Linked DNA regions of Lytechinus pictus. The protein of the gene in region 4 purifies or fractionates together with the protein of the main gene of each other region. This does not show direct contact. Links are inferred from orthologs where the notes say so. Each region holds a gene or a part of one and is shown on either strand. Other genes may lie near its edges. The genes, in order: 2-oxoisovalerate dehydrogenase subunit alpha, mitochondrial-like; 2-oxoisovalerate dehydrogenase subunit beta, mitochondrial-like; lipoamide acyltransferase component of branched-chain alpha-keto acid dehydrogenase complex, mitochondrial-like; protein phosphatase Mn(2+)-dependent 1K-like.

Region 1 (7,602 bases), on a different chromosome or scaffold from region 4:
ATGTTGTATGCAGTCCATCTTTCTTCCCGCTCTATAATTTCAATCATCGGCAGCCCGGCCGTGTTAACATTTTTTCTTGTCCCTTTTTCTTTTGTTCCAATTTAGCTTTTGACTAATTACATTCTACCTTCGTTTCCCGCTATTGTTTGCCATTTTGCCATCTTTTAATTTATTTCCCACCTTGCTATTGCATTACATAGGCCTATTTCGGAATGATTTGTTCTTTCTCAAATGTTCTTCTTTCGTACATTTTCCCGCTTTCCTTCCTTTTCCATTAAAAAAAATGTTTTTTCTTCGTTTTTTTCTTCACTTTTCCCTTTTCCTCCTTTCCTTTCCCCTTTCCTTCCCCTTTCCCTTTCTTTCTTCCCCCTTTTTTTTCTTTTTCCCGTTTTTCTTTTATTTTCCCGGTGAAATCCGCCAGGGGGGCAACTTGCCCCCCTGCCCCCCCCGCCTGTTACGCCACTGTTGGTGAGATATGTGTTTCTATCTCATGAGTCATATAAATATATATATATATATATATGCATATTGTGTGTGTGTTTGTGTGAGTTTGTTTGTTTTGTGTGATATCGAGCGCCTTTGGAAAGTTGATTCATGATTTTGCCCCCCAAATCTTAAAAAAAGAATCGACGCCCCTGTGTATATATATATATATATACATATAGTAAAAAAAACTTGTACCTCTATTAAGATACAAAAGTATTGGCCTCATCGCAATAAAAGGATTAATACACGAGATTTTGAAATCGCACATAACATGCATAATTTGTGTTACTTTTTGCTTGTTTCTTTCTTTAATAAGTTTTTCGATCTCTCTCTATATATGTTTTAGAATTATTATATGTTTAAATTGATGTATATTTCTGTTATAATGAGATATGTTTAAGTGGACTTCAGGGAATGGTCGTACGCAGCAAGGGGGAAGGGGGGGGGGGCACTTTCGCGATCTGCTGTTGTGAAAAACATTTTTTTTCCCTTAACATTTCATGAAAACTATGAAAAATTTGCAAATGTGAGATGTGCACCAAATTTTCGAGTCTTGCCCCCCCCCCCGGAAATATTATCTGCGTGTGGTCATGCAAAATGGCATGATTGGAAATCCTACATTTTAAAAAGAGCATTTGACAGGGTCAGACTTTACCCCTTTTTCAACATTTTCTTTTATGGCGCCGGCGAAGTGCAAAAATATGTGCGCCGCTCGGCAGTGCGCCCCCCCCCCCTTTCGCCAAAAGCTGGATCCGCCTATGATATGCCTATATCGGAATGATTAGTTCTTTCTGAAATGTTCTTCTTTCGTTCTTTTTTCCCGCTTTCCTTCCTTTTCCATTTAAAAACTATATATTTTTTTTTCGTTTTCTTTTCATTTTCCCTTTCCTCCTTTCCTTTTCCCTTTCCCTTCCCCTTTCCCTTTCTTTCTCCCTCCCTTTTCTCCTTTTCCCGTTTTTTTTCCCGGTGAAATTCGCCAGGGGGGGGGGGGCAAGGTGCCCCCCCCCCCGCCTGTTACGCCACTGAACTGGCTATCTGCCCTTTGGAAAAATTGGTGATCCCGAAAAATGTGCCTCTACTGGAATCGAACCCATGTCCCCAGCTTTGAACGCCGCAGCGCGCCGGTGCCTTAACCACTATGAAACTATATTGCAACCAGATTTTGCAGGTTGGGTCTTGTTTAAGAACGTTATCTAGATGTCATAAAAACATTAAAGATGGTTTTCCTCGACATAATTTCCAACATTTTTTTATCCATCAAAATGTCCTTATAATATTGTCAAAACATTTCATCATGACCTTTCTAGAACGTTTGATATCATTTTAATCATATTGTAATAATATTTTTCAAAACATTTTGTTTTCATCATGTAATCAATATTTTCAAAGTGAAATAAAGATTATCTTGAAAATGTCAATATGATGTTATGAAAACATTAAAACAATAAACATCCCAATAAATTCTATTAACATTTTTGAAAACGCTAAACAAATGTTAAAATAAAAGGCTTAATTGGAAAATAAATATATATATTTTGTGGTAACTTTTATAGAACGTTTCATGTTGACGTCATTACATTTTGATAACATTGAAAGCAAATTTTTAAAATTGAAAATGTGTTATTAAGATTATTCTTTGATTTCTGAAAAAAAATCATGAAAATGTGAAAAATGGTTTTGTTTAACATGAACTCTTATCTACATGTATATAGGGTTTTGAAAAACATTAAAAAAAAAATAATAAAATGGTGTTCAACATGATATCTTTTAAATACTTTCTCGTGACCTTTCTAGAACGTTTAACGTTATTCATGTAATACTCCGATAACATTTTTAAAATATTTTGTTTGTGAAAAATCATTATTATGATATTATCAAAACTTTTAAAGAAGGTGTTTAGAAATAATTTTTTTTTAACGTTTTAGGAAAACAATTTTTCCAATATTATTTAGCATAAATATTTTGAGAACATATTTTCACAACTTATACAACCTTAAATGCTATTATTATTACGTTTTAGCAATGTTTTAACGTGGGATTTTTTTTTATATCTAATGTACTTATCGTAATGTTAGTGAATTATTTTGTTTCTGAAAACATCAAAATAAGGATGTTTGTTTTATATTTCATTAACACTTAGGGAAAATATTACAAAACTATTTTTTTTTTCAAAAATGTTTAGTTATTTTTTCAATGACATATTTTCATAATTTTTCGAGAACGTTTGATGTTATTTTCACACCCAATGCATAGCAATGCATAACATTATAAAGTTGTTAGTAAATGGTTGTTTCTAGAAAAATGTTTAAATGATATTTAAAAAAAGTCAAAATATGTATGTTTCTGATACATTTTTTTATAACATTTTAAAAACATAATTTCAAAAAAAAATGTTTGTTAAAATATTTGAGAAACATATTATCATGTAATTTAGGGAATGTTTTATGCTATTGTCATAGTATTCTAACAACATATTTGTAATGTTTGTTACATAATGTATAACATTATAAGAACGATGTTATTATAACAACATTTAAAAATATTTTTAGATCCCGTGTATAACTTTATAAAGATGATAGTAAAGTTAACAAAAGTTAAAATTGTATTTTAAAAACACTAAAAAAAAAGGATGTTTCAAATATACTTTGAAATATTTTTGGCAATTATTATTATTTTAATGTTTTGTTGAACTATTATAAAAACACATATCAATACGTTTCTACAAAGGTTGATGTCATTGTCTTAATACTCTAACAATACTTTTAAAATGTGAATTTTTCACCAAAAATGTTAGTAAAATATTATTAAGTTTCTGAAAAAATATGAAAACCATATTTAAAAAACATTGGGAAATAAGTCTAAAATATATTTCAGAAACGTTTTAGAAAAATATTAGGAAAACATTTTTCAAAAACGCTTATTTAAAATATTATATTAACATAGTTTCATAACCTTTCAAGAACGTTTGATGTTAATGTCAAACTATTTTAACAGCGTTTTTGGAATTACATTTTCACATCCACTGTAAAACATTATGAAGATGTTAGTAAAATGCTATTTTGTTTCTCAAAAATGTTAAAATGATATCACGAAAACGTCAAAATTATTATGTTTCTAATACATATTTTGATCATTTTTTAGAGAATATCAAACAAACATTTTGTCAAAAATGTTTTGTTGAAATATTTCGAAAACATATTTTCATGACTTTTTAGATTTTATTGCCATAGCATCATAAGAACGTTTTAAAAATGTTATTTAACATTATATAAAAATATTCTTAAGAATGTTTCTTTCATGTCATTTTAACGTCAAGATTTGACATTTTGATAAGATGTTCTGATTTTTTTTAATAAAAAATGTCTTTTAAATGTTTTCTTGTCAGGCCATCTCTCTTGTATCCTTCGTCCGTTAAGGTCGGAGATCGCTAGTAACAGTAGAAGAACGTAGACACTTCCTAAGGGTTGTTAGAGCTGGGAAAGTAATTGCTGAGGAGGTTTTGGCGGGTTGTGTGAAAATATTAATTAGGGCCTATATGCTGGATAACGTTTATTCAATGATGAACATAAAGGGAATAATGTTTCATTAATGTTATGCAAATGTTCTAATGTTTTTAAAGCATTTCTAAGATCTTTAAAAAATGTTATTACGTTATGTGTTAGCTGGGCCTGGGCATGCACTATTCCAAAGAACATACTTTTTATCAGAAACTGGTGAAAGTTGTCTACCTTCACATAGAGAGAGATATATACAAATTAGTAAGATATCTCTATGCTTTAACATGACTCTGTATCACTCTGCATGCAGCCTCAACCCAAGATGAACACTTATTATGAGAAAAATATCGGGATAACGATTTAGAATAATTTGTTTTTAAAATGAATTCGTAAATAAGTTGCAGTTCTTACTATATACCGGTACTTACTTGAAGAAAAAAAAAATATGCGAAAAACGGGTCATTTGAACTAAGAACCATCACAAAAATGTATATGATGTGCAAAAAAAAAGAAGGTGAAAATTTCTTTTATAATCATGCATATTCATATTTTATAAGGAAACAATGGCTAGTTGGTTCATAGTATCAGGGAAGTGTTCCCTGATAGTATTTCACCCACCGGTAATACGACGTGATCGTCGAGCGCGAGCACTCGCACCATGCCATCGACTACTAGCTAGCGATAGCACTTGTCTAGTCTTTAGTAGTAATGATGGCGTCACTATTCCAAAGATCATGTCGATTCCTACGTTTTTATCAGAAACAGGTGAAAGTTCCTGCTCAGCAATTAGCTTCGAAGCAAATTAGAAGTATATATTATTCGGTAAGCAAAATATGATTACATACTGAAAGTGCTTCCTAACGCCTTACTTGAATTTGAAGTACAATTTATCGTTAAAATTAAAAAAGCAGTTATCCAGTCAGTCTTAAGTTAAGTCAGGCCCCATCTATTCATATTTATGTCAGTGCATTGGCCTTTTTGACGGTCATGACGGTAATGCAACAGTCAGTATGCCAGTGAGTCGAGTCCAGACTTTGCGTGTGTCCATACCTCGCGGCAACGTTCTCGCCAATGTAGAAAACATGCATCGCATGCGACACACGTAAATTCCACAAGCTCTTCATGTGCCACGCGCAAAACGCCAGCGACACAGGCAAAAAAATCATAAAAAGTGGGGAAAAAGTATAGAAAATAATTGTTGCATCATTCATCATCAAAAGTAGGGATGTCAACCTGAAAATTAGGCCTTATCCTGAAATAAGTCACCTCTCTTCTTGTGGTTGTCGGTGTGTGTGTGTGCGCTCGTTGTGTACAAAGTCAATGGGAGAGCTGAAAAGTCACTGCTGCTGACGAAATAAACGGCAGTAAATGGAGTAGGCCCTAATGACTTAAAGTTAAACCAGGATAATGCCGTATAAAATTCAAATGATCTAATTCAGATGTTCAAGATGGCCAGTGAAAAGGCCTTTGAAGATGATTTAAAATGACACCAAGATGGTCCAAATCTGACCAGTTGCTGCCAAGATTATACAGCTGATTCAAATTTCCAGAAAAGGGTGATTTTCTGGAATTTTCTTAGCTTTCCTATTTTTTTTTTGTCTTTCCATTTATTTGTCCTTTTCAATCTTCTTCAAAAATTCTTTACTTTTTGATTCCTTCCCTCTTTCTTTCTCTATCTTCCTCTATTATTTTTTTTCTTTCTTTCCTTCCTTCATTTTATCTTTTCATTATGTTTTATTTAAATATTTAGGTTATATGTAGAATTATATTATGATTGAAAGATATTTTTAAATGAATACAATACAATTAGGAAAAAAAAAAACCTCACTTTCCTTCTTTTTTTGTTTTTCTTTCCATTTATTTGTCCTTTTTTTCAATTTTCTCAAAAATTATTTACTTTTTGTATCCTTTCTTTCTCTCCCTCTCTTATTTTTCTGTGTTCTTTCCTTCATTTTGTTTTCTTTTTATTTTGCTGTATTAGATATATGTTATATATAGAATAATATAATGGTTGAAAGATATGAAATAAATACAATGTAATTAAGTGCATCACTTATTATTTCAGAGATGTATTCATCATAGGAGCCACTGGATGGGGATTATCTTTCTTTTTTCTTTTGTATAAGTATCCTTCCTTGAGATGTTTTAATGAGTGTTAACTCTTTAAGTTCATGTTTGGTCATATGAATTACTGTTATTGAATCTATGTAAAATTTTTATTTGTCAACCATTTGTATTCTGCTAAATTCAATCTGGCCTTGGAATAATTTTTTTACTGAATTAAAATATCCTCTTCTTATTGTTCTTTTTCCTCTTTCTTTCTTTCTTTCTTTCTTTTTCTTTCCTTCTTTCCTTCCTTTTAATCATTTACTAGTATTTCTGTTTTCTTTTCAGTAATTCCACCATTTTATTGTGTGCCGCAACCCCCCCCCCCCATAAAAAAATATGATTATGATATAATATGATAAGAAGAATTAATTAAAGAGTATATTCACATTGAAATTAGGTCATGATGGACAAGATGAAAATCAACTCTGAAAAAAAATAAATGTGATAACATGGTTCATGATAAGTGATACTGGCCTAGTAATGATAATAATAATAATGGCCAATTGTATGTAAAACAGTGAAACTTGTTGTGAAGCTGTTTAACTTTGTTTTGACTGATTTGTTTATGAGCAAGTGATCTACATGTATAATTTCTTGAAAGCATTTTTATTCAATTAAAAATTTATTTGCCCAGGCATGTAGGCCTACTCCAGAACCTATATGAATCAAAATTTTATACCTTCATATGACGCCGGGACACTCCCAAGAACCAGCGTGACTCAACTAACATTAACAAAAAAATTATAACGATTTTATACATTACACTATAATTATATTTCCACCTAAAAAAAACTTATCACCGATAAATTGATATTACTAGTTTATACATGGCGGACGCTCCAAAACCTTTTTTTTGACCGAGTATGCTTCTGATATAATGAGGTGGAAATATAATTATATCAGATTTATGATTGTCATTATACCAATTTTTATACGCCCGTCCTAGACAGGACGTATTATGGTATCACACTCGGTGTCCGTCCGTCTGTTAACTTTTCCTTGTAAACATGTTAACTTTAGTTTGACTTAACCTAGGCTCACATAATTTGGGGTGTATGATACTAGCATGGTCCCAGGAAGCCTATTGATTTTGAGGTCAAAAGGTCAAGGTCACAGTGACATGTTTTCATCTTACCTTTCTGCAGTTCTTGTAAACATAACTTCAGTTTAACTTAACCTAGACTCATATAATTTGGTGTGTATGATACTAGAATGGATCCCAGGAAGCCTTTTGATTTTAAGGTCAAAAGGTCAAGATCACAGTGACACATTTTCATCTTACCCTTCTGAAGTCTCAAGTGTTAACACGATAACTTTAGTTGAACTTAACCTAGGCTCATATAATTTGGTGTGTATGATACCAGCATAGATCCCAGCAATTCTATTGATTTCGAGGTCAGAAAGTCAAAGGTGAAGTCACCACCTTCCACTTTTCTTGCTTGATCAATAACTCCATTTTCTGCTTTACAAGGCAGGCGTATTATGTGCTGGCCATAGCGACACTCTTTTT
Region 2 (7,056 bases), on a different chromosome or scaffold from region 4:
TAAATAACTCAACATATGTTCCATATACTAGTTAAATGTGATATTTTGAACACAGTTATTTTCCAGAGATATCTTGATAAATACTCGTGCTGAATCTTTTTACAGGGTATCTTACTTGTAGTTAATGTATAAAAATCATATTTTAGTACTTTTGTTCTATCTAAAGCAACAAGAATGATCCTTTCAAAAGAATAATTAATTTGTTGGGTGATAAAGTAATAAGATATTCATTTTTCTCCAACAATACCACATGGATAACACAGCAACTGCTGTGTGAAGAATGTTCCTTTTATGTTGTTTTTATAACTAGATGCAAGAAAGGGTTATAGTGTCCAATATTTTCATGTTTCTTTTCCATCAAAGTTTGTTTAAAGGAAAGTAGTTTTGTCACCTTATGTGATAGTTCCTATGTTCCTATTTAAGTATCTCAATTTAAAAACATGTGCTAAGTTAAAGAGTGCATCATAAGAGTCTGTTTATATAAAAACTTATCGTTAAGCCAGTTTTCTTTGTACTTTGTTTCCAAGCAACAGGGTTTATGCTGAATATAAAACTTTGCAAAATAAAATGTACTTACTTACCGAAGAAGGTAGTAGCAGAATGTACAGAAATATGCTTACATATCTTGGCAGCTATTTCTAAGATATTTTACCTTGCTTAAGCTTTCTGCTTTCTTTCAATACTATTGTACAAAAAAATGAACAAAATTTGCTGCGTGTAGACCAATGAACATTTTTAAATGCTTCTCTATTAATCACAAATACAATTTTGCAGTGATGAACACCTTGAAATTTGGTTTTATATGAATCTTACCTTGCCTTCCAATGTTATATGAAATGTGTGTTTTTTATACATGTACTTACATGTAGAAATATTTCCTTGATATTGCAGGACCAAACATACTTTATTTGACAAATTTATTGATAGACATTGCCGAACAAGGGCAATGTATTAGTGATTTGTCATGTTTTTGTAAGTCATGAGCACATTGTCTATTTGTTAAAAGATTACCATAATGGCTATGTATGTTAAGTTGATAATAAGCAGTAAAAATTGTTGCTGTTTCAAGAATTGTCATAAGAGTGCTAGAACAAGAGAGATAATACTGCAGCATTTCGTTTTGTGGCCGTTTTAGAGAGTTAAAAGTATGCAATTCAATTTTTTTATACCATGTTTGTACAATATTTAATGAATATTATATTAAGATGATAGACTTGAAACAGAAAAATCTAGTTCAAAATAATATAAATAATAAACATTGATATTTGCTTGTAGGGTCACATCATGAAAATGAGGATGAGATATTAATGTTGTTTACAACAATAACAAACATCATTTAGTATTGCGCTGACTAAAATGTATCTGATAAGCTGTTTTCTAGCTCCTAATTGTAAAGATTGATATCAATACATGCATTCATTTTGTAGACTTTTTCACACAAATTATTTTTTTTAACATGTTAAATATGCAGTTTTTGTTTTAATTTGCCTCAGGATAATAGATGAATTTAATCATGTTTATGTTTAAATACCATTTACTTGAATATGAAGCTCAATAATACATATATCATGCTTATGATCAATTTGAAGTTGAGTAAACAATGCCAACAAATATTCTGTGCTGCTGTTCTGATTTTGAGGTAAATTGAACAATTACATGCATATTCATGTTTTGAGATATCTTCCAAGATATCTTGTTATCAAAAGCAAGTATTTATTAAAATTGTATTAATCATTTTATGCTATAAGTAATCAACTATTTATATCCTTGTATGATTTTAATGATATTAATGTCATAACCGTATTAAGATGTAGGAATAGATAGCTATTTTATATGCCAGAAATTATTATGGATTTTCCACATCAAATCTATACAATATTTTTGTATTTACACTAGGTCTTTTTTATTTCAAGTATCCCCAATGGTTGCTTTATTTAATAACATGGGAGCTTATACAGTATATGTAACTGTTCTTAAGAATCGAATATTAATTACTCTGGCAACTGTGTTAGAGTGTACATGAACATACATGAAGATGAATTATAGAGCACATGTAGGATATCTTTGTTGACAGAAAACTATACTATTAATATGCAATATTGAAATGACTGCTTAGCTTTGTTTTCAATCATGAGGATAATGTAAACATTATTATTGAAGGAAGTGAATCATTGTAATTTTCAAATTTACTTGATTTCTTTTTTTTTATTTGCAATAAGCGAATCACATTTTGGGAAATTGATGTGTAATCACTTTTGTTGTGATCAAAATGCTGCACGGAATTGAGTAATTATGTAAATAAAACAATACACGCTTTCTTTTATCTATCTAATTTTAAAAATCTTAGTCTTTCAAATACGACAGTTACTTTAACTTTTTAAGTATATGAATTTAATAATCATTTATTGGGGTATCAAAGCAAAAATTGAAACATTGAAAACTAGTACGTTGTTTTGTAATTAATGTTAATGGGCATCACAATTTGTATTATGAAAATGTTTGTGTTGATTTTTCTAAGATAGATTTTGTATTTTGTTTGCCATGTTGTGAATTTGTCATTCATGTTCTACATGGAATGTTTTCTGTTAACTTCTAGGTTCTGTACTGAGGATGGATAAAAGAAAGAGAGTAATTCTTCAATCTTATAAGTGTTTATATGATTCACAATGGGTGATTTCAAGTTCAGTGTTGGTGTTGGTGTTGGATGCACATTTTGGATTGTGTTTCCTAGTTCCAAAACCTATTCTGAGTTAAAACAAATATTCCAGATCACAATATTGACAGCTCAACACATAGTGAGTGACTTTTCAAGACCATCTTCATTTTATGTTTGGTGTTACACTCATGTAAAAATTGACTTAATACCAACACCAAGAGGTCAACACTGAACTTGAAATCACCCAATGATAAACCAAGTCAAAATAGTCTTGTTTTTTATGGCTGAATATAGTACAGGGTGTTTGTATAAAAAGGGTTTTCTTAAAAAAGATATAACTTCTATCTGCCCTAGTAATAGATGAAGTCAGAGAATTAATTCTCAAAACTTAGCACTCATTGCTTAGGAATTGGCATTAATGATTTGAGTAATTGTGTCACATATCTAGGCTATGCTGTATGTTGAGCTTCATGAATAAAGTGAATGAACCATGTTTTTTAATTTTAAATCACTATAATTGTGTAAACTGACACTAAGGGATGCACAGATATTGCAATAAAAGATATATTTTCTTGCATTGTAAAATGGATTCTTCCTCCAATCGATCATGTGTTAAATTGTTAAAATGCCGCTTGTATTACACATGTCTGTACATGAATAAATTACTTTTACAATGAAACATAATGGTACATAAGGCATGCTTTTAATTTACTGTTTCTTTTAAAATATACTTTGTTTCTTATTTTGCTCCTTTTGAAACTGGATATTTTTTACATCTTGATAGTTTTACAGCACGGCTGGTGCTTCAGGGGGCGGGAGGTGACCATCCTTGCATGATTTTCCAAGTGGTGAAAGAGAAAAAGAAAAAAAGAGGAGAAATTTGATCATATAAAAGAGATACATCTGAGTTGTATAACTGTACAGTACACCCCTTCTAATTAACCTGGCCCTATCAAAATTCCCCTCCCCCTGATTGAAAGGGATCCTTTTAAACTTGGAAATTGTTATTCAATCATCTGTTAGTTTCCCTGACAACTTTAGGCAACATACCATGCATCACTTTAAGCAATTCAGCAACTTTTTAAACTTTGTTCAAATTTGGGAGAAATGGTACTTTAATTCTTCCTGTCGCTCTTATTTCTTACTTATATTTCCCATTCTTTCTTCCTCATTTTCCCTCTCTGTTTTTCACACATTCTGGCTCTTTCCATCACTAATGCTTTTCCAGGGGCGGGGGCAAGACACCTTGATTTACAGTTTTTTTAGATTAGAAAGGCCGGGTATTAGTTACACACCATGACCTTTCTCTTTTTATTTTCGTTACACATTTTTCTTCTTTTTTTCGCTTGAAAAATCATGAGCATGCAGTCAGAGAGAATACCGAGTCGAGAACATCCAGAACGACTAGACGAGTCGAGTGGCTGTATGTATCTGGGCGAACTCGAAATACACCACAGAGCGAGCGCGTTTTACAGAATTGGGCCGACGTGTGTAGAACTAGAGGTTTACGATGGCGCTACTCAGGCAAATTTTCGGAAGGGTGACTTCCAAGTCATTGCAGGAATTGTCTGCCAAGAAAACACCTGTAATAACGAATGGATCGAGAAGGTTGGCTTCTGCATTTACATTTGTCCCTGATGCAGCCTCTCCATCGGATGGTAAGGAAATTGTCTGGAACTGGAACAGTCTCGATCTATAATTTGCCAAACTTGTCATTGTTTTCAATAAGTGGGACCGGGATGAACGTCACGTCACGGTAGGCCTACACGGGCTACAGCTCCCGGGCCGCTCTGGTGCTGGACGTTGGACCGGGCCGATGATGTGATCGCGAAGCTAAATAGATCGGCGCTAATGCAGTTTCGCACCGGCTGACATCTAGCAAATTTTTCCATCAGTACTATACTGCCTTGTGGAAAAATTTGCTCGATGTCCGCAAACGTCATGGCGTTAATGCAGCTTCACACCGGCCGACCAATCCTGGCGATGACGATGTTAAACTAAGTCTTTTTACCTCAAAATATTACTATTACTAGACTAGTAGTATTAGTAGGGATGCCACCCCAAAAAATTGAAATGGTGTAGCCTAGGCCTAAATTTAGTTTTAAATAGTTTAACTGGAATAAGCTTTGAAGCACGAGTAAAATGACACCAAGATCATGAAAATTGGACCACGGGTTGCCGAGATACGGCAAATTCAAATTTTGAAAAAGCCGATTTCCTGCCAGAAAGTCGCCAAAATGGAAAAATTGTATTTTTTGCCATTTTTAAAGCTACCTATTTTAAAACTTGATGAAGTATAGAGGTTGCTTTTTCTTGGGGCACCTAACATGTAAACCACCAACAAGTACCTGAAAAATTGGGTCCAAACTACTTTTCGTTTTCATATTAACGGAGTTCAAAAAATGGGGAAAACACAAATTTTCGCCTATGGCACCAGAGGAAATTGGCAAAAATGACTAAGTCCATCTAATTAGTATGCGAAAATGGCTTAATTTGAAAGTGGATGGGCAAGTAATCACCAAATTTCACAGAGGTGCAGAGTTCTTAAGTTTACTTCATATCTGTTTTTCTTGTGAGCATAAATATAATACTATGCAAATTAGGTAATAAATGAATATTAATTTATACATAACGAATGGGAAAATTGCCTAACTAAAGTTATAACTGATTTGAATGGCAAAAGCCAATGCTTAATACAAAATATTATTTATTAAGAGGTCCTTAAGACTAGGAAATTTAATATTAATCTCATATTGATGTAACTTCCAATCCATACTAAAAACTCTTTTATAATTATATCACTCATTATTGAATACTTTGAACCTTAAAAAAAATTCAATAACATTTCACACTACTAGGGTTTAAATACAATAAATGGATCGGCAGATTAACGTAAGTGCGCACGCGCAGTAGAAAAATCATTGAGCCGGGGTACATGGTATCATTTATAACATACAATGCAATGTACTTCACACATACCCCGGCCTCGCCCTTGCCGTTAGCCTTGGAAGTTAGAACGTTAACTACTTTTCCTCAAATAAAATAAAATCGATAAATTAACTCAAGAAAACACAGCTCAACACTCGTAATTGTCGTATACAAAATAAAACGTTCAGCATACTTCGCAAAATACCACTGAACACAGCCACAAACTCAATACAATACATGCACCCCACGCATTCACAAGCTCCCTATCACAGAACAAAATCATCCAATGACATGGGCAAAATCTCGAACAAAAGTGAAATTTTCTTATCTAAATGACCACATCTCGCACTAAAAATGTCACAATCGCATTTCCTTAACATCATAATTAAGAAATACGGGGTCTAAAAAAGTGGATTTTTCGGACGATTTCGCGATGTTAATGGATTTTGGAAACATGTCGTCACAAAAAATTGACACTTACGCGAGCCAATGCGGGTCGCTATTTTTTCCCGGAAGTCATTCATATAACACACGGGCTCATAGGAGAGAATGTGCAGACTCGGTTACTGAGAAAGTGAAATTGGCATACCTGGTTATATTATCTCAAATATCTGAGTGATTAAGTTATCAGATCATCATTAAAATGGCTAGATATGAAGTGTAAGAAATCAGGATTGTGCAATTACAAGCGAAATTGACAAAAGTTCCTTTAGACATTCAGAAATCTTAATTCTAATCAACTTACCAACGATAGACGTTGTTCTGGTCTTCCAATACTCAAATTTCCCGCCCTGCGGATATTTTCGTTGTCAAGGAAGTTAACTCAGAATGTTCCTCTTTGACATGGGGGTTAAAAAAATGAAATTGGGCAATAAGATCACTTCTCTAATAGAGTTTCAAAATACTCTTCACATCCCGATCCCCCCCCCCCCCCCCCCCCCCCCCCCGCTTAAGATCAAATTCTTCGGTCCATAAATTTTGATCAATGGGAATCAGCTGATCATTATGCTAGGATTTCATCGAAGTCGTAGTTGAGTTATGTGTCAGCAATGGGTATGAAAATATAAGAACTTGAAAGAGTTTTTCGTCAGGTTAATGTGAGTACTATTGTTTTTGTTGTTATATGTATACTTTTTTTGCATTGTTGGAATAAATTTAATCATTCCTGCCAAGAATTTGTGAAGATAACCATCGGCATTGGCAGGAATTTCTCGGCGCGCGAGTGGCATCCCTAATATTAGTATCTGCCCGCAGCAGCACTCACACGTATTGCGAGGTTAGTATTAGTATACTAACCTCGCTCCATGAACCGCGTTTGGCAGTTGATTTCTAAGTAGTGGGTCGCGCGTGCTGGGATCCCACTTCTGGTTTCCACAACATACGACTTCTATGGCTTGATTTTTCTGTGCGTGGCGGCATGTAATGAACCCTTGGGTGCGCAGCAGCTCACCCAGGCCATGCTTTTGCAAGAT
Region 3 (7,758 bases), on a different chromosome or scaffold from region 4:
AAGGGGCTAGACACGGCGTAGGCCTCACATAAGATTCATAAAGGTTGCCAGTGAGTGAACAAAAATTTTAACATTTTTTTATCACTGAAAATCAAATTTTGTGATAAATTTGATATAATGTAAAAAAAAATAATACTGAGTGTCACATTTTACCCTTCTCTCTTTCCTTTTTATTAATTGTCTCTTTTTTTTTTCTTGGTCATGAAAAATTGCGGGGGGGGGGGGGCTCTTGCCCAACCCCCCCCCCCCATGTACGCCCGATAGGCACAGTGAATTTTTATTGACCGGGGGAGGGGGTGGGCAGCAAAAATGGAAATGGAACGGGGCAGGAAAGAGTTCTTATTGTTAGAGCAGCTTCAATGTAAAGTGCGAACTCTGAAGTACATGTATACAATATTAAAAAAAAAAAAACCATTAAAAACTTCTGATACAGTACCGAATCTCATGCTGGATAGGCCTGCATGCATGGCAAAGTGCGCAGAAAGGACGCATGATAATTGTTTTCATGCGGCCAGCCAAGCATGCTCTTCTTATTTCATTAAATTTTAAGAGAATGAGAGATTTTTAAGAATTAGGTCTATTGATTTTTGTTTTCTTTTTACTCAATTCATATATAAAAATAGACCCAAATTCCTTCTTATAATTTCCCGGCACCCCCCTGTTAATGTTACGTACCTGCCTTTTTTAGAGGTGGATATAACAATCTTATTCTCCTGTGTAATATTTAAATGACAAAGTCGCATCAAATGGGGTCGATAAAATCCATCTCTATGCAAAGTCACAAACTATTAATACTGATATGAAACCAAAACTCAGAGTAGTGTCGATTTTTTTTAACAAGCTGGTGCACATCTAGTTACCAAGAAAGCGTATAGCGTTTTAATTTCTTTGAATGCAGGAAAATTAAGAGCACCGTCGAACCGTCGATTAAAATAATGAATGCCTTGCTCACGGGCATAGGTGCCACGGCCGGGGATAGAACCCCGGTCTTAATAATGTTAAGAAAATAAAATTAAAGAATATCTTTCACAAGACGCAAATGATAATGTTACACGGTTGATTTAGCCTGTGGCAATAACCATGTTTTTTTTTCTCTTCTCTGCCAGATATTATTACTTATTTTAGTTTGATTAAAGTTTTTTTTCTATTCTTTCTTTTTATTATCTCTCTTCCTTTTATTCTCCTTTTCGTGCTGTTATTGTTGTTGCTGTTTTTCTTCTCCTTATTCCTTTTCTTCCTCCTTCTCCTCCTTCTTGAAATTCTTCTTCCCCTCCTCCTCTTTCTTCTTCAATCTATTCCTCCAGTCCCTTTTCTTCTTCTTCTTTTCTTCTTCTTGTTTTTCTTCTTCTTCCTTTTCTCCTTCTTCTTCTTCTTATTTTCTTATTCTTTGTGTACACTCTTAAAACAAATCAGTCAAATTGACTAGACCAGTATAGTCAGCTGGGTGCAACTGATATGGCAATCACTGATAGGCACATTTCTGACATGTATTCTAGTCAGAAATAACTCTGTTCCAGTAAAATACGACTAGAAAATAATCAAATATGACTAGATTGACAGCTGCACCCAGCTGACCCTATATTAACTAGTCATTTTTGACTGATTTGTTTTTCAAGTGTATATATCATCTCTATATCTTATTTATTGCTAATAGTAAATCCTGATTTTTCTTCGTTTTCTTTAATGTGTAAATGGTACAATTTCTATACATGTCGAAGGCCCCACGGAAAATAAGCTTTAGTGGGTCATCCTGTGCAAGCCTGTTGTTTTTAATACTAATATATTGTTTATATCATTATGTTATGGTGGCTAGCCAAATAAAATCAAAATCAATCAATCAAGCAAGCAATCAATCAATCGATAAAATCCACCTCTATATGCAAAGTCACGAACCATTAATACTGATAGTTTTGAAACCAAAACTCAGAGTAGTGTCGATTTTTTTTAACAAGCTGGTGCACACCTAGTTACCAAGAAAGCGTATATAGCGTTTTAATTTCTTTGAATGCAGGACAATTAAGAGCACCGTCGAATAAATGAATGCCTTGCTCACGGGCATAGGTGCAGCGGCCGGGGATCGAACCCCGGTCTTCATAATGTTAAGAAAAAAAATTAAAGAATATCTTTCACAAGACGCAAATGATAATATTACACGGTTAATTTAGCCTGTGGCAATACTAACCATGGTTTTTTTTTCTCTTCTCTGCCAGATATTATTACTTATTTTAGTTTGATTAAAGTTTTTTTTCTATTCTTTCTTTTTCTTTTCTCTCTTCCTTTTATTCTCCTCTTCGTGCTGTTATTGTTGTTGCTGTTTTTCTTCTCCTTATTCCTTTTCTTCCTCCTTCTCCTCCTTCTTGAAATTCTTCTTCCCCTCCTCCTCTTTCTTCTTCAATCTATTCCTCCAGTCCCTTTTCTTCTTCTTCTTTTCTTCTTGTTCTTTTTCTTCTTCTTGTTTTTCTTCTTCTTCCTTTTCTCCTTCTTCTTCTTCTTATTTTCTTATTCTTTGTGTACACTCTTAAAACAAATCAGTCAAATTGACTAGACCAGTATAGTCAGCTGGGTGCAACTGATATGGCAATCACTGATAGGCACATTTCTGACATGTATTCTAGTCAGAAATAACTCTGTTCCAGTAAAATACGACTAGAAAATAATCAAATATGACTAGATTGACAGCTGCACCCAGCTGACCCTATATTAACTAGTCATTTTTGACTGATTTGTTTTTCAAGTGTATATATCATCTCTATAACTTATTTATTGCTAATAGTAAATCCTGACTTTTCTTTGTTTTCTTTGTGTAAATGGTACAATTTCTATACAGTCATGTCAAAGACCCCACGGAAAATAAGCTTTAGTGGGTCATCCTGAGCAAGCAGTGGCGAAGCTAGGATTTTTTTCCTGGGGGGGGGGGCACTGGGGGGGGGGCACCATTTTTTCCGTTGTGTGTGTATGTGTCACAAGGGCGGATCCGACTTTCGCCAATAGGGGACGGGGCCCGAAATTATCTTCACCTATATTTCCCCCGATCAGTCACTTCTTAGTTTTATTCTTATAAAACAACATAAACATGAAATAATCTCATAAGCCTTATAAAAAGTGCGAGCGCAAAGCGCGAGCGATTTTTTTTTTTTTTTACTTTCATGTATTTTGTCCTGAAAATATTCTGGGCAATGTTATGTGTGATCCTTAACAAGATTCGTATGTAACTAGATGGTTACTGCGAACTCCAAGCGCGAGCAGAAATTTTTATTAACTGTTCTAGCATTATCGAAAAGGGACCTGTTAAGGACTGCTTACAGTTACCCACAAAGACGGTATATATTTTAATAATGCGAGCGCGAAACGCGAGCAAATTTTTTTGACATTCCGACCTAAAAAATTGTCATCTTTTTCTAAGCACTTTTTGTATTAATAAATGGGATAGGTATGTAACTTAACAATTGATGCGAGCGCGAAGCGCGAGAGGAAGAAAATTGAGATTTTAGACCTAAAAGCGGGACACTCTATTTATATTTTGTAAATCATAGATAGGATATAGTTAATTATTGGGTATCATTAATAATGCGATCGTGAAGCGTGAGCAGACAATTATTGATATTCTGATGTGAAACTGGGAAACTGGATAATTTAAGTACATTTAATATAATACATTTGTTTAATGGAACATTATGGAATACACGTAGACAATAGGAACTTGGCAAATCAAACAATTTGACCAAGCAGCGTGAGCTTAAAAATGCTGATATGTAGACTATAAAAGGGACATTTTACAGCTAGAGCGCTTAAATTTGTTAATGAAAAAAAATTGATGAAAGCTCGATGTCTGAGCTAAAATATATTTTGTATATTGACTTCAAAACTTGCTCCATATCAGCCTATTGAGCAAGATATGAATCTCATCAAACAGGCAGTTCTGGCGCGAAGCGCAAGCAAAAGTATTATATAGTAACATGAAAGATTTGGGTTTTTTGCAAGTCTTCCTCCTCTTATTTTCCTCTTCTTTTTTTTCTTCTGTCTTTCTTCTTCTTTTCCTTTTTTCTTTTCTCCTTTCTCCCTTTTTCTTTCTTTTTGCTCTGCCATTTTTTTTTCAGGGGGGCACCTGGGGGGGGGGGCACACCAAATCTCAGGGGGGGGCACGTGCCCCCCCCCCCCCCCGTAGCTACGCCACTGTGTGCAAGCCTGTTGTTTTTAATACTATTGTTTATTATGTTATGGTGGCTTGCCAAATAAAATCAAAATCAATCAATCGATAAAATCCACCTCTATGTAAAGTCGCGAACTATTAATACTGATAGTTTTGAAACCAAAACTCAGAGTCTGTAGTGTAGATTTTTTCTAACAAGCTAGTGCACACCTATAGTTACCAAGGTAACTACGTTACCTACCTAACGTAGAACGTTCTTGCTCACGGGCATAGGTGCCGCGGCCAGGGATCGAACCAAATAAAATCAAAATCAATCAATCAACCAACCAACCCACCCACCCACCCACCCACCCATCCATTTTTTTTTTTTTTTTTTTAACAAGTGCACACCAAGTTACCAATAATGCATATAGCATTTCCATTTATTTGAAAGCAGGATAAAAGAGCATTGTACATTAAATACTTTGCTCACGGGGATAGGTGCCGCGGCCGGGGATCGAACCCCAGATTTTCTATGTATAGCCAGGCGCCTTAGACCACTCGGCAACGGCACCTCCATCCATCCACCCATCCATCCACCCACCGTGAAACCAATGTCAAGCGAACCCCTGAGCTGATTGTCCACTCGGCCAGCGCGCGCCACGCACGGAACTCTGCCAAAAAAAAATTGAAGAGCGCCATCAACGTTAGAAACAACAAAATGGCGAGCTACTTGAGATTTTTGCAGCCCAAGAATTTGTTATTCTACAGCCGTCTTTCGTCAGGTCTGCAAGTAAGTATCGTTAGAATAGTAGATGATATTACTGGGTGTCTTTAAATTTAGACATAAACTTGATTGTAGGATGCCTTTTGAGAATATTCCCAATCTAATACCCCTTTCATACTGCGCTTTTCCCCGGCGAACTTCGCTCAACATTAACCATGTTATTGTTAACCCAGGGAGCTCCCAGGGGCAGGGCTAGCTCAGCCTTACCTCGGGCGATGTTCGTGCAGGCTCCACTCCACTTCACTACCGCTACACTCCACCTACCCGAACATCGGGACAGTGAACTAGATCGGATATTCCGAGTCATAAAAGGTGGGATGGCAATCATGGTTATCGTAAAAATTAAAGAAAAAAAATATAGGGATTATACTTATAGTAGGGATAGCACACAAAAATTAAAACTAGCTAATATCCATTCAAAATCCATTCTGTCTTATAGAGCTTTGTGAGAGCTTTATTTTGATACCAACTTCATGTAAATTGACCAATGTTTGGTAAAGTTATGGTCGATTTAAGTTATCGGAAAAAGGGTAAAAACCTGCCGGAAATCATCAAAATCGCCCTAAAAAGGCAAAAAATGCGTTTTTGGGCAAATTCAAGTATCTGTCACATGAAAAATATGATTATATAGTGTCTAAAAACAATTAAACATAGCTATAGCACTTGTGTTCTACACAGTCTGCAAAAACGGGATCACATGAGTAAGTTACTGCTGAATTATAGTCGTCAGAGTGGGACCTATTAATTCAAAATCACCCATCCGCAACCACAGAAAAACCTTCAAAATATGCAAATGAGAGCTAATTAATATGCGTAAATGCAATATCTCCAGTTATATTAGGTTTCACGCAATGAAACTTGGCAAGATGTTTTCTTGCACTAAGACCTTTAATTTTCACCACTTTTGTACAATCTTATTTGACAAATATGCAAATTAGCTCATTTATTATGCAAATTAGCTAATTTATGCATAATTATTAATACATAATTCATCAAAGATTCATCGGCAACAATCAAACCATCCTACAAATTGTCTCTTTCATATGGGTTATACAAGGTTGATAAACTTTATGATTTCACAACACTTATCTTTTACCTATACAGTGCTGAAAATGAGTTTAAGAACAGCACTGGACAGATAACCTTAATGAAAGAGGATATTATTATTAACATGCCAAAGACAGCACATATCTGTTCTTGGCAGTTCTGAAATTGAATGATCAGTTGCTGCACAAGTCAATCCAGGCTGGTATTTGAGTTTTCTTTCAAGTATCACAATAATATTACAGATGCTGTTTCATTAGATATTTTAATATATTCCCAATTTTAGCATAATAAATTGAATTTTTAATAACATTGATGTTTAATACATTTCTATGAATTCTGACTTCAAACAATTTAACAAAAAATAACTGTAATCTTCATCCCATTTCAAGTAGGTCATGACAAGGACAATGAGCAACAGCCAAGGGAATCAAATCGAGAAAGGGGAAACTGCAGCCAGACACAAATGAGCGGACAACCTGATGAGAAGGGATAAGAGGGCATTCAAGGCATAGTAAAAGCCATTGGACAGTCTGCATAAGATATTCTACCTCATTCATTGAACTTGAGTTTTTTTTTAGCACAACAATAATATAACAGATGCTGTTTCATTAGAATTTTCCAAAATCTGCCTGGTAGATTTTTGATTGCAGGTTTGTATAAAGTGTAAGAGTAAAAAATTAATTGGTGGACTGGTACAAAATTTTGAAAGACATTCATATTATATGTACCACAAACTAGTGTCTCAATATTCACAGCAATGGTATAAAGAAATTCTGAGAATGAGAAATAATTATTAGCTTATAATAATTTTTAAAGCCCATTTGAAAGTATAATTTGTTTCTTTTGTAATTATGTCTCTTTGAGGCCCCCACCCCCTCCCCCTCCCCCCTAAAAAAAAATTAATTAATAAAGGAAAAGAATTGGTTATGGGCACAATTGAGACAAAATAATTCAGTAAATATGACCAAACAATTAATTAAAAGTGACAAATTTGACTTTCAAGTCTAATTTCTTGAATTGCCTGACATCACACAACTATTGATTTGAAAAACGTACGAGGAAAATGAAAACAGTCGTTCCAGAGGGAGGGAGAGAGGCAATGGAATATCCATACCTTAAACTGCGCATGCGCAGAAAAGAAAAATTCGGTCGGCGAATGTGGCCGGTCGACTGGAGAAATGGCTGTGCAATTTTGCGCGCACTCCCTCTGCACAATCACGGCAAAATTGTTCATTAGATATTTGAAAAAGATCGACATTTTTCACATTTCATGTCACAATCACAACCATTTCACATCATTTCATAATAAAAATCCAATCAATCGGGTATTAAGAATACGTAATCGGCACAAATCTACTCACCAGGACATTTCCGTTCGTGTACAAGAGAGTGAATTTCATCGGCAGTCCATCCGGTGAGTTGGAGTATTCGTGTATGTTCTGCGCTGAAGTCAGCGGATGCCATGATTGAAGTCAAGCGCGTAGTATGTGAACCAAAATTTGGTTTGCTCAATTCAAAGCCATTTCCTTGCTAGTTACACTCATTTTCAGGACAAAATAATATCATCCCTAAAAAATGTAACTCCTAACCTTTACAACAAGTACTTCACTCTTCGGAAATACACTTGAATACCGGAGATATGAAGAATCCAAGCCACACGGTAAAATCGCCTGCGGTGTGACCATAAATTGGTTTCCACGGAAGCAGAATACAGGGTCATGATCGGAAAGGTCACGATATCCTTATATGGAAATTTCATGCACATATTTAGAGTGTAACATGTGAGGATCGTTGA
Region 4 (7,896 bases):
AGGGAAACCCCCCTACACACACCCAAAATATATTTCAGGAGCAATCTTCCAATTGTATTTTATAAAGAGGACTTTTGGTTGAAATTTACTCCTCAATATACGAAAAAACATCGAGTATATAGGGGTGTGGGCTACTAAAACTAAAGCACTAGCCCGTTGTTTTTCTGTACAAATTGAAAGAAGGGAAACCCCCCTACACACACCCAAAATATATTTCAGGAGCAATCTTCCAATTGTATTTTATAAAGAGGACTTTTGGTTGAAATTTACTCCTCAATATACGAAAAAACATCGAGTATATAGGGGTGTGGGCTACTAAAACTAAAGCACTAGCCCGTTGTTTTTCTTTACAAATTGAAAGAAGGGAAACCCCCCTACACACACCCAAAATATATTTCAGGAGCAATCTTCCAATTGTATTTTATAAAGAGGACTTTTGGTTGAAATTTACTCCTCAATATACGAAAAAACATCGAGTATATAGGGGTGTGGGCTACTAAAACTAAAGCACTAGCCCGTTGTTTTTCTGTACAAATTGAAAGAAGGGAAACCCCCCTACACACACCCAAAATATATTTCAGGAGCAATCTTCCAATTGTATTTTATAAAGAGGACTTTTGGTTGAAATTTACTCCTCAATATACGAAAAAACATCGAGTATATAGGGGTGTGGGCTACTAAAACTAAAGCACTAGCCCGTTGTTTTTCTGTACAAATTGAAAGAAGGGAAACCCCCCTACACACACCCAAAATATATTTCAGGAGCAATCTTCCAATTGTATTTTATAAAGAGGACTTTTGGTTGAAATTTACTCCTCAATATACGAAAAAACATCGAGTATATAGGGGTGTGGGCTACTAAAACTAAAGCACTAGCCCGTTGTTTTTCTGTACAAATTGAAAGAAGGGAAACCCCCCTACACACACCCAAAATATATTTCAGGAGCAATCTTCCAATTGTATTTTATAAAGAGGACTTTTGGTTGAAATTTACTCCTCAATATACGAAAAAACATCGAGTATATAGGGGTGTGGGCTACTAAAACTAAAGCACTAGCCCGTTGTTTTTCTTTACAAATTGAAAGAAGGGAAACCCCCCTACACACACCCAAAATATATTTCAGGAGCAATCTTCCAATTGTATTTTATAAAGAGGACTTTTGGTTGAAATTTACTCCTCAATATACGAAAAAACATAGAGTATATAGGGGTGTGGGCTACTAAAACTAAAGCACTAGCCCGTTGTTTTTCTGTACAAATTGAAAGAAGGGAAACCCCCCTACACACACCCAAAATATATTTCAGGAGCAATCTTCCAATTGTATTTTATAAAGAGGACTTTTGGTTGAAATTTACTCCTCAATATACGAAAAAACATCGAGTATATAGGGGTGTGGGCTACTAAAACTAAAGCACTAGCCCGTTGTTTTTCTTTACAAATTGAAAGAAGGGAAACCCCCCTACACACACCCAAAATATATTTCAGGAGCAATCTTCCAATTGTATTTTATAAAGAGGACTTTTGGTTGAAATTTACTCTTCAATATACGAAAAAACATCGAGTATATAGGGGTGTGGGCTACTAAAACTAAAGCACTAGCCCGTTGTTTTTCTGTACAAATTGAAAGAAGGGAAACCCCCCTACACACACCCAAAATATATTTCAGGAGCAATCTTCCAATTGTATTTTATAAAGAGGACTTTTGGTTGAAATTTACTCCTCAATATACGAAAAAACATCGAGTATATAGGGGTGTGGGCTACTAAAACTAAAGCACTAGCCCGTTGTTTTTCTTTACAAATTGAAAGAAGGGAAACCCCCCTACACACACCCAAAATATATTTCAGGAGCAATCTTCCAATTGTATTTTATAAAGAGGACTTTTGGTTGAAATTTACTCCTCAATATACGAAAAAACATCGAGTATATAGGGGTGTGGGCTACTAAAACTAAAGCACTAGCCCGTTGTTTTTCTGTACAAATTGAAAGAAGGGAAACCCCCCTACACACACCCAAAATATATTTCAGGAGCAATCTTCCAATTGTATTTTATAAAGAGGACTTTTGGTTGAAATTTACTCCTCAATATACGAAAAAACATCGAGTATATAGGGGTGTGGGCTACTAAAACTAAAGCACTAGCCCGTTGTTTTTCTTTACAAATTGAAAGAAGGGAAACCCCCCTACACACACCCAAAATATATTTCAGGAGCAATCTTCCAATTGTATTTTATAAAGAGGACTTTTGGTTGAAATTTACTCCTCAATATACGAAAAAACATCGAGTATATAGGGGTGTGGGCTACTAAAACTAAAGCACTAGCCCGTTGTTTTTCTGTACAAATTGAAAGAAGGGAAACCCCCCTACACACACCCAAAATATATTTCAGGAGCAATCTTCCAATTGTATTTTATAAAGAGGACTTTTGGTTGAAATTTACTCCTCAATATACGAAAAAACATCGAGTATATAGGGGTGTGGGCTACTAAAACTAAAGCACTAGCCCGTTGTTTTTCTTTACAAATTGAAAGAAGGGAAACCCCCCTACACACACCCAAAATATATTTCAGGAGCAATCTTCCAATTGTATTTTATAAAGAGGACTTTTGGTTGAAATTTACTCCTCAATATACGAAAAAACATCGAGTATATAGGGGTGTGGGCTACTAAAACTAAAGCACTAGCCCGTTGTTTTTCTGTACAAATTGAAAGAAGGGAAACCCCACCTGAGGTCTCACAGGCCTAATTCATTCCCCATAGACTCGTGTGTTAAATTGGCACTTTAAAAAATTCATAAAAAATAAGGATGAAATTCGGGGGTCGAATGTTTACTACCAGTGGATAGGATATATATCTGGCAATCCATATCTGACCAGAAAAGGGTCCTTCGACTGGCTCATTTTAAAAATAAATTGGCGTGTTTGAAGACAGCGTCGGGGGGAGCAGATTCATCACCTCAAACAGCAAAATAGCCCTAATCCTTCCGCCAGTCAAAATACAGTCCAAAATTGGTGATATTTCTTCCCAATTTGGGAAAAGGAAGTTCAGTAATTACCAAAAATAGAATCAGTGTTAGATGGAAAATCATATGCATACACTTTGTCAATCAGCCATATCAAAATTAAAAAAAATGGCAATGGGTTGGCTCGAATGAATATCTATGGCCTGCCACTAGTGATTAGGCCCGTGTAGCCCTGACCCCGTTTGTTTGATTTCTACAAGAATGCACGCTTCTCTTCTTGCGCAAAATCCTGTATCTGATCTATCTTATATCGCGATATTGTTGGCTGGAACTGTTGGCTGGCTTGCTGTTGGCTGGCTTATTGTTGGCTCACTTGACATAGGCGATGGAGCCTGCCCTTGATCTGTCGGTGGGGATCGCGACTGCGACTGGTCATGTTGGTGATTAGTGAGATTGAGACTGAACTGGAGCTACATTTTAGCCAGGACAGCAATTTTTAAATGAAAAGTGGGCATTATCCTTGTTTAAGTCACCACTCCATTCACTGCCGTTCATTTCGTCAGCGGCGGTCACTCATTCAATGAACAAGGTTATGATATAACCTTGTAGTTGTTCTCAATCTCACTTATCTCAGTTAATCTCCATGTGTGGCAAAGTAAGGATGGCAATGTTTGGCTTATTTTCTCTTTTTCTTTGGGACAAATGCTTGATTTTTTTACACTGACAGTTTCCATTACACCTATTCGTCATACAACTTGGCCTTTAAGTAAATTTGATTCTTTAAAGGTAAATGCTAGTTTTGGTAACGATATCAAAATGAGTTCGTACAGAATCCAATGAAATGACCACCAAAGTGTCTGTTTGTATAAATAAAACGCATGTGCCAAAGGATTCTGGAAGAAATTGTGTAATTGCTGAGAAATCAGCAAATAAGCACAGGATTCGGGTAGAGCGTCGGGCCCGACGCTCAAGGCAAAAATTATACACTGTCCCACGTGCGCTTATCTGTGTTGGGGAAGTTCAGTCTGAACATTTTTCAGCGTAGATTTCAAGATTTCACAAAGTTCAGTTTATGTAACTGTACCAGATCTAGATCCTCGATGATATACTGACAATTAAGCCTGGTTTTACAGACTTTCTCATGAAATCAGTGTTTACTGCAACTACTGGAATTTCTCTTTAAATTATTTTTTTCTTAATTAAAAATAGAGTTAAAAAAATGAAAATTTTCTTGCCATATTATTTTCCACCAAAAGAGGGCGTACACAAAAATATGCCCAAAATTCAAGTTTTTGAGCGCTCTAGTGAATACAAAAATTATTCCCAATTTACTAATGAAAAATTAATTGCAAATGTATGGAAATTAGTAATTTTGGTCACAAAAGTGATCATTTTTTAAAGTGTGTGCTCTGTACAGCATTGGTATACAAATAATGCATGCAGCCGAGTGCGTTAGTGGAAATGCAGAGCACGCGAGGTTTCTTTAGATAGGAGTCGCACTGTGCACGAGCCGCTTGCGGCGAGTGCCCAGTGTGCTCCATCTGAAGAAACCGAGCTTTCTCTGCATTTACCTTTACGCACGACAGAGCAAGTGCATTATTTGTTTTATAAAATAGCAACACAGAAACAATTTTTTTTAAAGTTACAGTACAGTTTTGTTGGGCTTCTACCGCACTGGTTTGCTCGAGCGTGCAATGTCAATTTTCGTTGCACACCTTTTGCACTACCGTGCAGTGCACAAAAAAAGTTGGATGTCATGTGACGCGTATTGACCAATCGCGATGCTTGAAATAATACAGCTATTTTATAACATGCCATAGTCCAACCTGTAGATTCCCCACAGGCAGGGTGGTTGCAGTGAACAAGTGGCGGCGGTGACTTCTTTCATCTCCCGTTGATTTTGTCTTTGTAGTATTGTACACAACGAGCGCACACACACGAGAAGAGAGGTGACTTATTTCAGGAAAAGGCAAAAAAGTGTAGCAAAGGTGTATAATTCAGGGAGAGACTAATCATGCTAATTCAGATCAACGTAATCACTTGACACCCGTCACTAGTCACTACAACATCATCAGTACTAGTGTGACTGCGAGGCCGAGCCCGAGGTTAGTATTACTTTATGGTCAAAGATACTAAGGAGTAAGGTGAAGATTGGACACTTTGGCGATTTTTTGAAACGCTCGATAAATGCTCATGGGGAAGGACGCCCACTAGCGTTGAGTAAGTAAACCATCCCACATCGGCACGCTGTGTATAAAAGTATAGGGAAAATGAGAAGGTGGACTTTGGAGAGGGCTCAAGTCAAGGGCAGCGCATGGGCATAATTCCACCTTTTATTACCCAGAAACCTCTTAAATATATTCATCTCTAATTAAAAAAAAAAATTGAAATATTTTTTTTTAATGTAAAAATCGTATATTCCTTCACCCCTTCACCATTTCATGTTTTGTACACAACCACTCACACATGCACACATGCATGCGAGGTTAGCTATTGGCTAACCCAGGGAGCCCAGGAGTCAACCGTGCAAAACGAGGAAGACACGGGACTGGGGTAGATAGGGATCTCAAAGTAATCTTAATAAAATGTGGAAACAGAAATTATGCACTTACCTCGATTATATGGATGAAGGTCTATTGTGACACAGAATCCTGACATCGAGGCACAAACTGGACCCTCAAAAAAAGTAAAAGTTAGACGTCTATGTCGCGTTCGCTTTGGCATTGATCGGCTATTTTGTTTTCAATTTTAGCACACTCATATGGTAGCATATAACTATTGTCTTTCTTTATGATTGAAATAATGCATGATTTATTGCTTTACCCTATTTTCTTCTCATTTTAAAGCTTTGTCATGGGACACTCTGCCCACTGATTTAACTAATCTAACATGGATCTAAATGTTGGTACCTGCCTTCACCACTTCCCATATCTTTTATTCACACAGGCACAGGGTTTTTTCATGTCTCATTTCAGTTGTGTCCAACCATCATGGTGATGTCATCATGCTAAAAAGGAACTTTACCATGTTCAGGAAACTCTTGTTATTGGACTATAGCACGATACCAAAAGTGCTTCAAAACAACATACGAAACATGACTCGGTCAGAGATTAGATGCAGTCACAGATTGAGTCGCTCTGTAAATGCGGCATCTGCAAGATACAGTTCATCCAGTCGTGGGGTCAACTGGGATAACTTTGGAATCTGGGACAGCAGGATCGAAGAGCCCATCCTTTTACAGCAAAGCATCAAACATGGTATCCCCATACCAAAAATATCTGTTGGGCGCATCGGAAAGGAATCCCTCATCGGTCGCAGGGCAGAGAACGAGGATCGGATATGCATCAAGGAACTCCGTCCAAACCTTCTTTATGTTGGTATCTTTGATGGACATGCTGGATCCATGGCAGTGGACTATGTGCATCATAATCTAGAGTTTCATCTCAACTTTTGGTTGGAAAGAGAGTATGATTTACAGATTGTCTTGAAGAAAGCCTTTGAGGATCTGAACAATAAGCTGACACGCTACCTCTACATTCATTACCCAGGTACACAAAGTAGCCTAGGTTTATATTGTAAGAAATACTTTGAAGGGTAATAACAAAAGGAGGAAACAGGTAGAGAGATCATAGTATAGTTTGACTCTTATCACTCTGGTTATATTTTTTTATATGCGCTGACTGAGATGTAAATTCCATTTTAAAGGCTTAGCCTTTGTTTCCTGAAATAATTATTTGTAAGTGTTGTGACCTTATTGGATTTGAATTTCTGGTACAATATCTATCGGGCAAGACTGTTGAGACTGAGTTCTTTTAGATTATACTTTAATAATAAGGCATTCAACATTGAAGAAAAAATATGAAGCTTTCATCCATTTTTGGCCTCTTGGAACACTTTGTTGTGGACTGGTAATGCATTAAGTATCCAAACTTTTCTTCATTCCAATACAATACAGAACCTGAGCATGAGCATACAGGTTCAACGGCTACTGTGTCACTTCTACGGAATGGAAATGAGCTTGTCTTGGGCAATCTGGGTGATAGTCGTGCCATTCTCTGTCGTAATGGGAAGGCGTTAAGATTGACTAATGACCATGATCCAGAGTACAATACTAAAGAAAAAGAAAGGATCAAAGCGTCTGATGGATATATCACGTAAGATTCTAGACAAATACCCTTTTCTTATACACCAATACCATTATGGCTTATTACTGATCACATCGGAAAGCATTTTCTGAAGCCTCTTATAAAGCATCTTATATTACTGCCATATATCTTTTATGAATATGAAGAACAAGATTAACCCTGAAACGGTTCTAAAAAAAGCCAATGTGTATCTTTTTAAAAGTAGTGCATCTTCCATCTATGCAACACCAGAAATGTTTTGTCCGCACAAAAGAAAGTGAAATAGTGTAGTTATGAGTTGAAATAAGTCACAGAATTCTGGATGTCAATTTCTCAAATTGAATAATGATGTGGAGTTTTAGGCTTTGTGAAAACAAGAAAATCTGGAGAACAATAAATCAATTACAGCATGATTCTCCTTCCAGCTTTACAAACACTTATTCCTATTTCAATTTTTTGGGTGGTAAAAATCATGCAATGCTAATCTTTGATGTACTCAATTAGTAATATTACCTTTCACTATACTTTGATTGTTTGTTATACAGCTGGAACAGTCTTGGGAAGCCCCTTGTTAATGGTATATTGACCATGACTAGGAGCTTTGGTGACATCACCCTCAAGAGATATGGAGTCATTGCAACACCAGAAACAAGATCATTAGAGGTAAGTATTTGGTGAATTTCTGATTGGTCAACACACACTCTATTTACGGTACTTTCCATTTGGTATCGTCTCACATTGTCTAATCTCCATCTACAACCTGTTCATATAACCATTTGGTCTAATGGTCATTTAGCCCATTCACAAT

What was found.
Region 1: the proteins of protein phosphatase Mn(2+)-dependent 1K-like (region 4) and 2-oxoisovalerate dehydrogenase subunit alpha, mitochondrial-like purify together in Homo sapiens (affinity purification with mass spectrometry; 4 studies listed by BioGRID and IntAct, counting the BioPlex papers as one, with this or other methods). This does not show direct contact. The link is inferred for Lytechinus pictus from reciprocal best matches to the Homo sapiens genes PPM1K and BCKDHA.
Region 2: the proteins of protein phosphatase Mn(2+)-dependent 1K-like (region 4) and 2-oxoisovalerate dehydrogenase subunit beta, mitochondrial-like purify together in Homo sapiens (affinity purification with mass spectrometry; 3 studies listed by BioGRID and IntAct, counting the BioPlex papers as one, with this or other methods). This does not show direct contact. The link is inferred for Lytechinus pictus from reciprocal best matches to the Homo sapiens genes PPM1K and BCKDHB.
Region 3: the proteins of protein phosphatase Mn(2+)-dependent 1K-like (region 4) and lipoamide acyltransferase component of branched-chain alpha-keto acid dehydrogenase complex, mitochondrial-like purify together in Homo sapiens (affinity purification with mass spectrometry; 4 studies listed by BioGRID and IntAct, counting the BioPlex papers as one, with this or other methods). This does not show direct contact. The link is inferred for Lytechinus pictus from reciprocal best matches to the Homo sapiens genes PPM1K and DBT.

What each region holds. Positions count from the first base shown.
Region 1 is NC_087251.1:40,230,980-40,238,581, reverse strand, and holds the start of 2-oxoisovalerate dehydrogenase subunit alpha, mitochondrial-like, read left to right. Parts: upstream 1-4,588; 5' UTR 4,589-4,691; coding exon 4,692-4,805; intron 4,806-7,602. UniProt on the Homo sapiens protein: Together with BCKDHB forms the heterotetrameric E1 subunit of the mitochondrial branched-chain alpha-ketoacid dehydrogenase (BCKD) complex.
Region 2 is NC_087248.1:8,417,403-8,424,458, forward strand, and holds the start of 2-oxoisovalerate dehydrogenase subunit beta, mitochondrial-like, read left to right. Parts: upstream 1-4,040; 5' UTR 4,041-4,166; coding exon 4,167-4,314; intron 4,315-7,056. UniProt on the Homo sapiens protein: Together with BCKDHA forms the heterotetrameric E1 subunit of the mitochondrial branched-chain alpha-ketoacid dehydrogenase (BCKD) complex.
Region 3 is NC_087255.1:5,971,259-5,979,016, reverse strand, and holds the start of lipoamide acyltransferase component of branched-chain alpha-keto acid dehydrogenase complex, mitochondrial-like, read left to right. Parts: upstream 1-4,748; 5' UTR 4,749-4,850; coding exon 4,851-4,922; intron 4,923-7,758. UniProt on the Homo sapiens protein: The branched-chain alpha-keto dehydrogenase complex catalyzes the overall conversion of alpha-keto acids to acyl-CoA and CO(2).
Region 4 is NC_087262.1:25,080,789-25,088,684, forward strand, and holds the start of protein phosphatase Mn(2+)-dependent 1K-like, read left to right. Parts: upstream 1-4,874; 5' UTR 4,875-5,069; intron 5,070-5,910; exon of another isoform or gene 5,911-5,939; 5' UTR 5,940-5,968; coding exon 5,969-6,512; intron 6,513-6,919; coding exon 6,920-7,118; intron 7,119-7,633; coding exon 7,634-7,751; intron 7,752-7,896. UniProt on the Homo sapiens protein: Serine/threonine-protein phosphatase component of macronutrients metabolism.